2 linked regions of the Callithrix jacchus genome follow. The protein of the gene in region 2 interacts with the protein of the main gene of each other region in a biochemical or structural test. Links are inferred from orthologs where the notes say so. Each region holds a gene or a part of one and is shown on either strand. Other genes may lie near its edges.

The links. The genes of interacting proteins can lie anywhere in the genome.
Region 1: the proteins of RIPK1 (region 2) and CRADD form a complex in vitro, tested with the Homo sapiens proteins (2 studies listed by BioGRID). The link is inferred for Callithrix jacchus from reciprocal best matches to the Homo sapiens genes RIPK1 and CRADD.

What each region holds. Positions count from the first base shown.
Region 1 is NC_133510.1:96,739,993-96,744,675, reverse strand, and holds the start of CRADD (death domain-containing protein CRADD), read right to left. Parts: upstream 3,047-4,683; 5' UTR 2,792-3,046; intron 2,557-2,791; exon of another isoform or gene 2,396-2,556; intron 1,713-2,395; 5' UTR 1,707-1,712; coding exon 1,409-1,706; intron 1-1,408. UniProt on the Homo sapiens protein: Adapter protein that associates with PIDD1 and the caspase CASP2 to form the PIDDosome, a complex that activates CASP2 and triggers apoptosis.
Region 2 is NC_133505.1:27,558,130-27,562,049, forward strand, and holds part of RIPK1 (receptor-interacting serine/threonine-protein kinase 1), read right to left. Parts: intron 2,558-3,920; coding exon 2,420-2,557; intron 438-2,419; coding exon 209-437; intron 1-208. UniProt on the Homo sapiens protein: Serine-threonine kinase which is a key regulator of TNF-mediated apoptosis, necroptosis and inflammatory pathways.

The DNA of each region.
Region 1 (4,683 bases), on a different chromosome or scaffold from region 2:
CTTTTTCCACTGGAATCCTGCCAGGTCTTCCTAAAGTTAGCTGACTATCTCACGCTGATCAGGTATTCAGACATATGTCAAAATATGAGGTCCGTGAAACAAAAACAGTAAAAGTGGTCTTATTATCAGTATTCATTTTTTTAAAATCAGTATTTAAAAAACAGCAACCACAAAGTCTGGGGCCCACTGAACCAGAATACTTCTATCACTGTTATCAAAAACCCCAGAGAACCTTGATTCTCTAACTTTGTTAAAAACGTGCAAGTCAACTTTCAATTACTCTTTTTTTCAATGTTTAAGTTCAGTTCTCTGCTCCTTCATCTTTGTAAAACAGAGCCAAGGGAGGTTAAGAAAAAGCAAGTGTTTCTATATCATGTATTCTTCCTGCTATAAGCCAGGCTAACAGAACCAGAACTGTTTCTCTCTTCTCCAGCTTCTAATTCTCCTTCAGATCAAACTGAGACCCTCCCCAAACTATTGCTTTCCATAAAATTAAATACTCCAGTTGTCTGAACTAAGCTAAACTAAAAAGGACACTTTAAACGAATAACCTTTCAAAACAAACCAAGTCAGCCTTCAACATAATCCCCTTTGGCCACACAGGACAGCCCAGGGGACAGGTGCAGGACATGCCTTCCTAGAGGCTATCTCCTCCTCCATGAATCTGACCTTTTCCAGCTGGTAGCTCTGGCACCTCACAAATCAGTTGTCAGTAGGCCGAATGCCTGCTTTCCATCTGCGCTTTCCAAATGGCTCCTGATGCCAACGGCTGAGATATGACCTGGCTCTCTGATGGGAACATGCTTCCCAAGTGACATGCCAGGTTTCCCTGGAAGCATTTCTAAATGCATTCTCTGAGCCCCCCTCCTTCACCTCCCAGTCACGGTTCATTCTTCCTTCCCACCATTTCCTAATGCCACCTCTTGATCCTATGCCTCCAATATCATGTCCCTTCAGTCCCAACTCCTTACCCACTTTCATCAACTGCTGACCCTTGTCCTGCCTTACATCTCAACTTCAAATATGAAGGGCATAGTTCTGGCCAGGCATGGTGGATCATGCCTGTAATCCCAGCACTTTGGGAGCCTGCGGTGGGTGGATCACCTGAGGTCAGGAGTTCAAGATCAGCCTTGCCAACATAATGAAACCCCATTTCTACTAAAAATACAAAAATTGGCCCAGGCACAATGGCACATGCCTGTATTCCCAGCTACTTAGGAGGCTGAGGCATGAGAACTGCTTGAACCCAGGAAGTGGAGGTTGCCCTGAGCTGAGATCATGCCATTGCACTCCAGCCTAGGCAACAGAGCGAGACTGTCTCAAAAACAAACCAACCAACAAACACAAAACCAAAGGGCATAGTTCCAACGTTTTGGAGCTGCTTCGAAGTGATCTTTCTGAGCCCTACCTGCAGGCAGGCTGGTCATGGCTTCTTCCCTTGCCTTCTTCAGCTTCTCCCTGACCCAGGGAAATTCCTGTAGGGAATCTAGGAATGTATCGAATGCTTTAGGGCCCCTGGAAGGTAGGATGTCCAGCAGCAGCATTGTTTTCCGGAGGCCTGTGGTTTGAGCATTGATTTCTTGAACATGGTTTTCCGTCAAGACTCCTTCCTGGTAGAGGTACTGAAGAACCAGTCCCTCCACCAATACCTCTGCACCCAGCTCCAGGCGAAGTGAGCGGAGCACTTGTTTGTCTCTGGCCTCCATTTCTCCCTGGAAAAAGCCGAAATCACAGCTCAAATTACAGACATGAAATGTAAGTTCCTTCAGGTCAGGCATATCTTCAGACCGTAGCAGAGTGCCATATTTAATACACGGGTGAAGCCAAGTTAATTTTGAACGTTTCCTAACATAATGAACAACACCGAAAATGAATCATCTTTTCTGTTTCTGCTTTTAGCACAATGGGGTCCCGGCTCAATCAATAAAGAAATTTAGAAAAAGAAGAAAAAAAAAAGTGGGTCAGAGACCCTTCTGAAAAAGCACTTTTTATCTGAAGATCACAGAGCACCATTAGTTTTAACAAGCTGGGGAAGAAATGGTGTTTTTAACATTGCCCTCATCAGACCTGCACCACCACCATGGCAAAAACTGCCACACTGGACGCAGGTGCCCTTTTGACCGCAAGTATTTGCAAAACCTGATCAGTAATAGGAGTGCAGGACAGAAATCAGCAGCAGGTACAGAGTTTAAGGCTCTTTTTGCTTAAAGTCCTCTACACTATCACCCTCAAGAAAAAGGTTGTTTTGTGCCCAGTCTACAATAAAACTTACACAATATACAGTCACAAACTCCATTCCTTCCCACTAAGAATTCAGAATCTGTAGCACATTATCGTGGCCACACCTGCATGGGACATTTTATGGGATTTTTTTTTTCTTTAAAAAAAAGCTCACATCCAGCACTGGTCAGTAGTCAGGCACGAGTTGAAGGTGCAGTTCCACCACCGCTGCACCAGTGTGCTGTGGCTTGGTTGTGTGTAAGGCAGTGAAGAATAAATGACAGGGAAGGGAGGTAGGGATGACAGATGCGGCTTCAGACACCCCCAGGCAGTACTACTGCTGGGCGACACCCAATCCCACACTCCCCCTCGCAACCCTGTGAAGTTCGGGAGGTGACAGGTGAAGAAGGGAGGTGTTCACATTTGGCCGTGAGCGCCCATTGGTAACTTTTTAAAAAATTCTCGGCCTCGGCCGCTGAAACCCTTCTATCAACAGGAAGAACTATGGGCGGTTTCTGTGGCAACTCGACCCGCTAAAGAGGGAGTGCTGGGAATAAACTTAAGAGCTGACCAAGGGGAGAGCGGGCCTCCGGCACTGCCGCAGCCACCCAGCCTTGGCCCGGATCGGAAATGGGGAGCAAGTTGGGGGGCGGGGAAGCCCCCGCAGGCCCAGGTCGCAGATGCTACAGTGCAGGACTTTCAAGAAAAGATGGATTCCTGTTACTTACGTCTGCAACCACGTATCTTTGGGGCGGGGGAGAAAAACTGCAACCGGAATCCTGATTGTTAGGGAACCTGCATCGTAAGCACCATCTTTGTTAAAGGCGAAAACCTTAAACAGGAAGTGTTGACGCCATCTTTGTTGAGGGCAAGCACAGGAAGTGCCGTCGCCATTTTTATTGAGCGTTCGAGGGTCGGATTGAAGCTCTTCCCGCCATGTTTACTATGGGTAAACATTCAATCGCGGGGAGCTGGACAACAGTAGCATCACTTAGAGGATATCTAAGTAATGGAGTAATTGGATATTTGCATTTTAACACGGTAACTCCACCAGGGCCTTGCACACAATTGACATGCCAAAGAGTCAGGCCAAAAATCACCCTAGGAGGAAGCCTTCTCTGACCTATCTGATTAAAACGGCAACACCTCATCTCCTGCACTCCCCATTGTCTTAACCAACTTTACTTTTTACATATCACCATCTTACTAAAACTTTTCACTTATTTGTTTATCCCTCGGCTTCACTCCATTAAAAGGCAAGTTCATTGCTTTATATCGAGGGTTCCTGCCCAAGAAGAGCTTACAAATCTGTCGGTCAGGATTTCATTGCAGCACTCAGCTAGTTAGTTACTCCTAGTCAGAAAGGGATTTGTCAGTGGGGATTGGAGACATTAGAGATCATTGGAAAGGCTGGAGAAAGGCTGAATATCCACGGATGACTACCTGGAGAAGAGTGCCATACTGGTTCCTGCCCACAATCAGGAAGATGGCGTCAGGAAGTTGGCATTTCTTGTCCCCAGCTTCCTTTCAACACCCGACAGAACAATCAACAGGACACTGGAACACTGCTGCAAAACACCGTGGTCTCGACAGCTGCATTTGCTAGCAGCATGAAAACAGCACCTGCAAATCTTGCTCTGTTGTGTGCAATTGGTGAGACCAATTTCACATGCAGAATATTAGCAGCAAGGATGTCTAGAGCGTGTAGCTTTCCAGCTTGTGAAACAGGAAAAGGTATACTAAATGAGGGAAGGGCTGATACTAAAGGCCAATCTACTGCATCCACCACATTTTCAATTTGGAAAGCAAGACAAAATGCATGACCCAAATATAGAGAAACACAGGGATGTCAAATTGAGTGTCCTTCCTCACATTCCTTTGTGAAGTGGGCCAGTCAGTCAATAAATACATTCATTGATTCATTTTAAAATCAGTTGGATGATACAAATGGAAAGTCATGTGCTTACTAAAACTTAGTTGACAGTACAGGGGGAAAAACTCCTAAAATATTATTTCTGCCAAAGTTTTCACAGCTAAAACCTTTGGTGGAAAATGAAAATGTCTTTGTAAGCAAATCAATGGAGAACAGTTCTGAACCTCCCTCCTCAAAACCTTCTAAAATTGTATTCAATTTACAGTGTTACTATGCCAGTTACCATTTTACTACACCATTAATGACGGTATTTTTACTAAGTAGCGAGTATTACTACAGTCATTCATTGCATAACAACATTTGGGTCAATAACAGACTCCATATATGACAATGTTAAGAGCAATAGGCTATGCTCTATGGCCTAAGTATGTAGTAGGCTATACCATCTAGATTTGTATAAGTACACCCTATTTTGTTTGCACAATGATGTATTTCTCACAATGTATCTTCATTGATATAACTGTATTAGCATTTTGCATGTGTAAAGACTGTGTAATCAGAATGGTCAATTGGCTTAGCCAAAATCTCAC
Region 2 (3,920 bases):
TTAGTTCTAGGTACAGTGCCTGTAGATGCTGAGGAGCCAGCAGTGGATAAATCAAACGTGGTCCTTGCTCCCACGGAACTCACAGTTGAGCAGGTAAGACTGATGTTAAAAGAACAAACAACTATAAACCACCACTGACTTCACTGAAGCCATTATTTCATGTAACAGTGTTGGTTCATATCAAAATCGTACTCTTCTAATGCCTTACTCTCATATGGCTCCTTATTTGCAAATATCACCCAAAGTACTATGGCAAAGCTGTACACATCCGACTTCTCTGTGGGCTTTGCATTGACGTCGTTCAGGTGCTCAGGTGCCATGTAGTAGAGGGTGCCGCCGTTCTTCTTGGAGGTGCTGTCCACTTCCCTCAGCTCATTGTGCTCCTCTTTAGACAGTTTGCTCCACGACTTACAGGAAGCAAGGCCGAGGTCTGCAATCTGCAAAAGAGAACGAGCCACTGTGATTGTTTGGTGAAGACCACAAGCAAATCAGATTTGACTTTAAATTTGGGGTTTATTCAATATACATAAGATATGGTAAATTTTCCAGAAATGGTTGCACTGGGCAGGTTAGAAACAGTGACTTTGCAATAGACTCACAGAAACTGTCTAGCCAGCCATTTGTAAAATCTCCCCCAAGAAATTGTTTACATGAAATTCTGGTATCACATTCCTTATGCAATAAATGGGAGGGGAAAAGCAGAAGACATTTCTGATAAGAACAGTAACAAGCAAACATATTTATCCTAATTCCCCATTGACTCTGCATATGGTTTTCAACTATTTCTGGGGGTTAGGGGAAACATGATTATTTGCTTCTCTGCACATTTATGTAGCAGACAGTGGCTAAGTACTACACCTTCTATTTCCCCAAATGGCGTCCAGAGGCCCATGAATGCGAGTGTCTAGGGATCCCAAAGACACACTGAGGATAAGGACTGCAGTGTTGCTTGTTTTGAGTCGTGGCCTGAACCTAAGGGAAGATGGGGTGGGAAGGAGGAGAAAAACACACAAAAAAGCAGAGAGAAAAATACCAAGGTCAGATACAGAACAAGAACAGAGGTGGCGGGGCAAAATTACAGAGCCATATAGTTAAGAAGAGAACAAGGGTGTCAGTTCCACTTCTGCCTCCAGGGATCCAAGCAGGCACGTGGGGATTAGCTGTGGCATGTGATTGCCAAAAATGCACAGATTCTAAGCCACGACATAAGAGGAAAGTCATGAATTTCAAGATAGGTTATGAATGAGTAATTTTTATTCCCATGGCTTTTTTTTTTAAAAGACACGGGAATAAAAATCTGCCCAAGACTAGGACAAAGTGCTAGACGCAGAACCTGCTGGTGGAGAGAGGCCCGTGTGTCAGCAGCTCCTGAGTGCCCCCCCGCACCGAGTGCTGCTTCCCCTTCCGCTTCCCCTCTCAGAGGCCAGTGCTTGGATTCTTGCTGTGAAAGCCAATTAGATATGACGCTACCCCTAGCTAAGTCCTGCCCTTAAATGAACCAAAGAAAAATCCTTTTCCCTTGTTCCCTTTACTACAATGGAAAGAAGGTGGTCAAAGTTTTTTTTTTTTTGAGATGGAGTTTAGCTCTGTCACCCAGGCTGGAGTGTAGAAGCGTGACCATGGCTCACCGCAACCTCCACCTCCCGGGTTCAAGTGAGTCTCCTGCCTCAGCCTCCCAAGTAGCTGGGATTACAGGCACCCACCACCACACCCAGCTAATTTTTGTAGTTTTGGTAGAGATGGGGTTTCACTGTGTTGGCCAGGCTGGACTTGAACTCCTGACCTCAGGTAATCTGCCCACGTCGGCCTCCCAAAGTGCTGAGATTACAAACATGAGCCAGCACGCCCAGCTGGAGACTGATTTTTCAAAATACAGACAGAAGTAAACAATTAAATAAAAATATAAAACAAAATGTCAAAGTAGAGGTTTTTGATGCCAAAATGATCAACTCACTGCTTATCTCAATCTTAAGGCCACATCTGAACTCTAAGGATTTTCTGCACACATCTTCACATTCCCCTGCATTTCCAGAGGAGGGGAGACTTGGTGACACAGATTTCCTGGGGAAAATCATGGTGCCAGTGGCCCATTCCAGGATGAAAAAGGCAACCCCTGAACGTTTCCATCTCAAGTCTAACAGAGGAGAAAAACAGAATCTAGGAAAGAGGTCTTCTTACCTACCCCATTCAATTCCACTTTTTCCCGAAAGATACGAGTTATCCTGACAGTTATCTCCGGATCCCATCACACCTGCATCTTTCCTTCCAAACACTGGCAGAGCCTTTCGGCACCATCACCACCAGTCATAAGCTGAGCTAGGTCTTCCTTTAGCTTCTACAATTTATAAGAATGAATTTACATTGGAGAATCAAAACTAAAATCACCCAACTTTCTGGAAGCCTACCAATGATGGTTTACCTTAATGTGGAAGTCATCATCAACAAGGATATTTTCAGGCTTCAGGTCCTTGTGTATCACGCCTTTTCCATGTAAGTAGCACATTCCTTCAATGATTTCCACAATGATCCTTCCTTTTACCGAAAGCGGAGTACTCATCTAAAACAGGTGATATTAAGTCTATGAAATGGAAAGGTAATCAAATAGGCCAAAGCAACTGTTTCATGAAAGGGTGGTGGGATCTGAGCCTGAGGACAGGGTTACCAGGTTTCCCTCTAGCAGATGCACCATGGCACTGCTGTCACTGGGAAACAAGATTTCATTCCAGAAGAGAGGGGGCAAAGGTATTCATGTTGTATTTTGTTCTTGTAAAAACAAAATCCCACAATCATTTGGTAATGTATAAAATACTATGAAATTAAGCTCCTTGAGAACAAAAATATGTATTATTTAGGACTGTATCCTTAGAACCTAGGATTGTACCTGGATTATTTGTTGAATGGATGAATAAATATACGAACAAGCATTTTTAATGGGATACTCATATGATGTCATACTAAGTTTACAGTAAGAACATGAACAATGCCATGGAAATGTTGTGTGTAAAAATAACATTAAGAGGAAAAAGAATACAAAGGAACATGGTGAAACCCTGTCTCTACTAAAAATACAAAACTTAGGCATGGTGGTTTCATGCCTGTAATCCCAGCTACTCCGGGGCTGAGGCAGGAGAATCACTTGAAACCGGGAAATGAGGGTGGCGGTGAGCCGAGATCGTGTCATTGCACTCCAGCCTGGGCAACAAGAGCGAGACTCTGTTTAAAAAAAATATAGCATGATCACCACCATACAGAAAGTAGCAAAAGAATGTTTTCCCTTCTTCCTTGGAACACCTTGGAACTTAGGAAAAATTTCTGAGCAAGCAAAGTTGGTCCCCTCTCTCTTCTCTTTCTGCTTCTCTCTCAGGTCCTCTTGATGTCCTGACTGAGTCCAAACACTGCACCTGAACTTTCCCTGATCCTGCAGAATGCCCAAATGATTTCTTGCTCATCTCAGAAGCTAAGCAGGGTTGGGCCTGGTTAAGTAGTTGGATGGGAGACCAAAACTTACTTCTCAATCGAAGGTTTACTTCAAACAGCTGATCTCTAGTTCTGGGGAGGAGAGCAATCTGATCAAACTACAATACCATGCGTGTAAGTCTCACCTCTTCTCCTTCCCAAAGGCATTTCTGTGAGATGTCTGTTGACTTGGCAATTGTTGGGTGGGAGAAGAAAGTGGAAAAGTGGGAGTATTTGCCATAAAGGCAGCCACCCCACCCCATGCCCTGTGCTATCTATGCTCTAGCCAAACCCAGGAATTTACAGTTGCCCAAATTTGGCAGTCTCTACATAGTATTCTCTGCCTGGAACTTTTAGTCCCTAATTCTCTGCTTCTAAACATCTACTTGTGCTTCAGATTGGAAGACTTTCCAATCTATCCCAGACTGAGTGGGTGCCTCTTCCGTAATCCCACAGCAGATGAT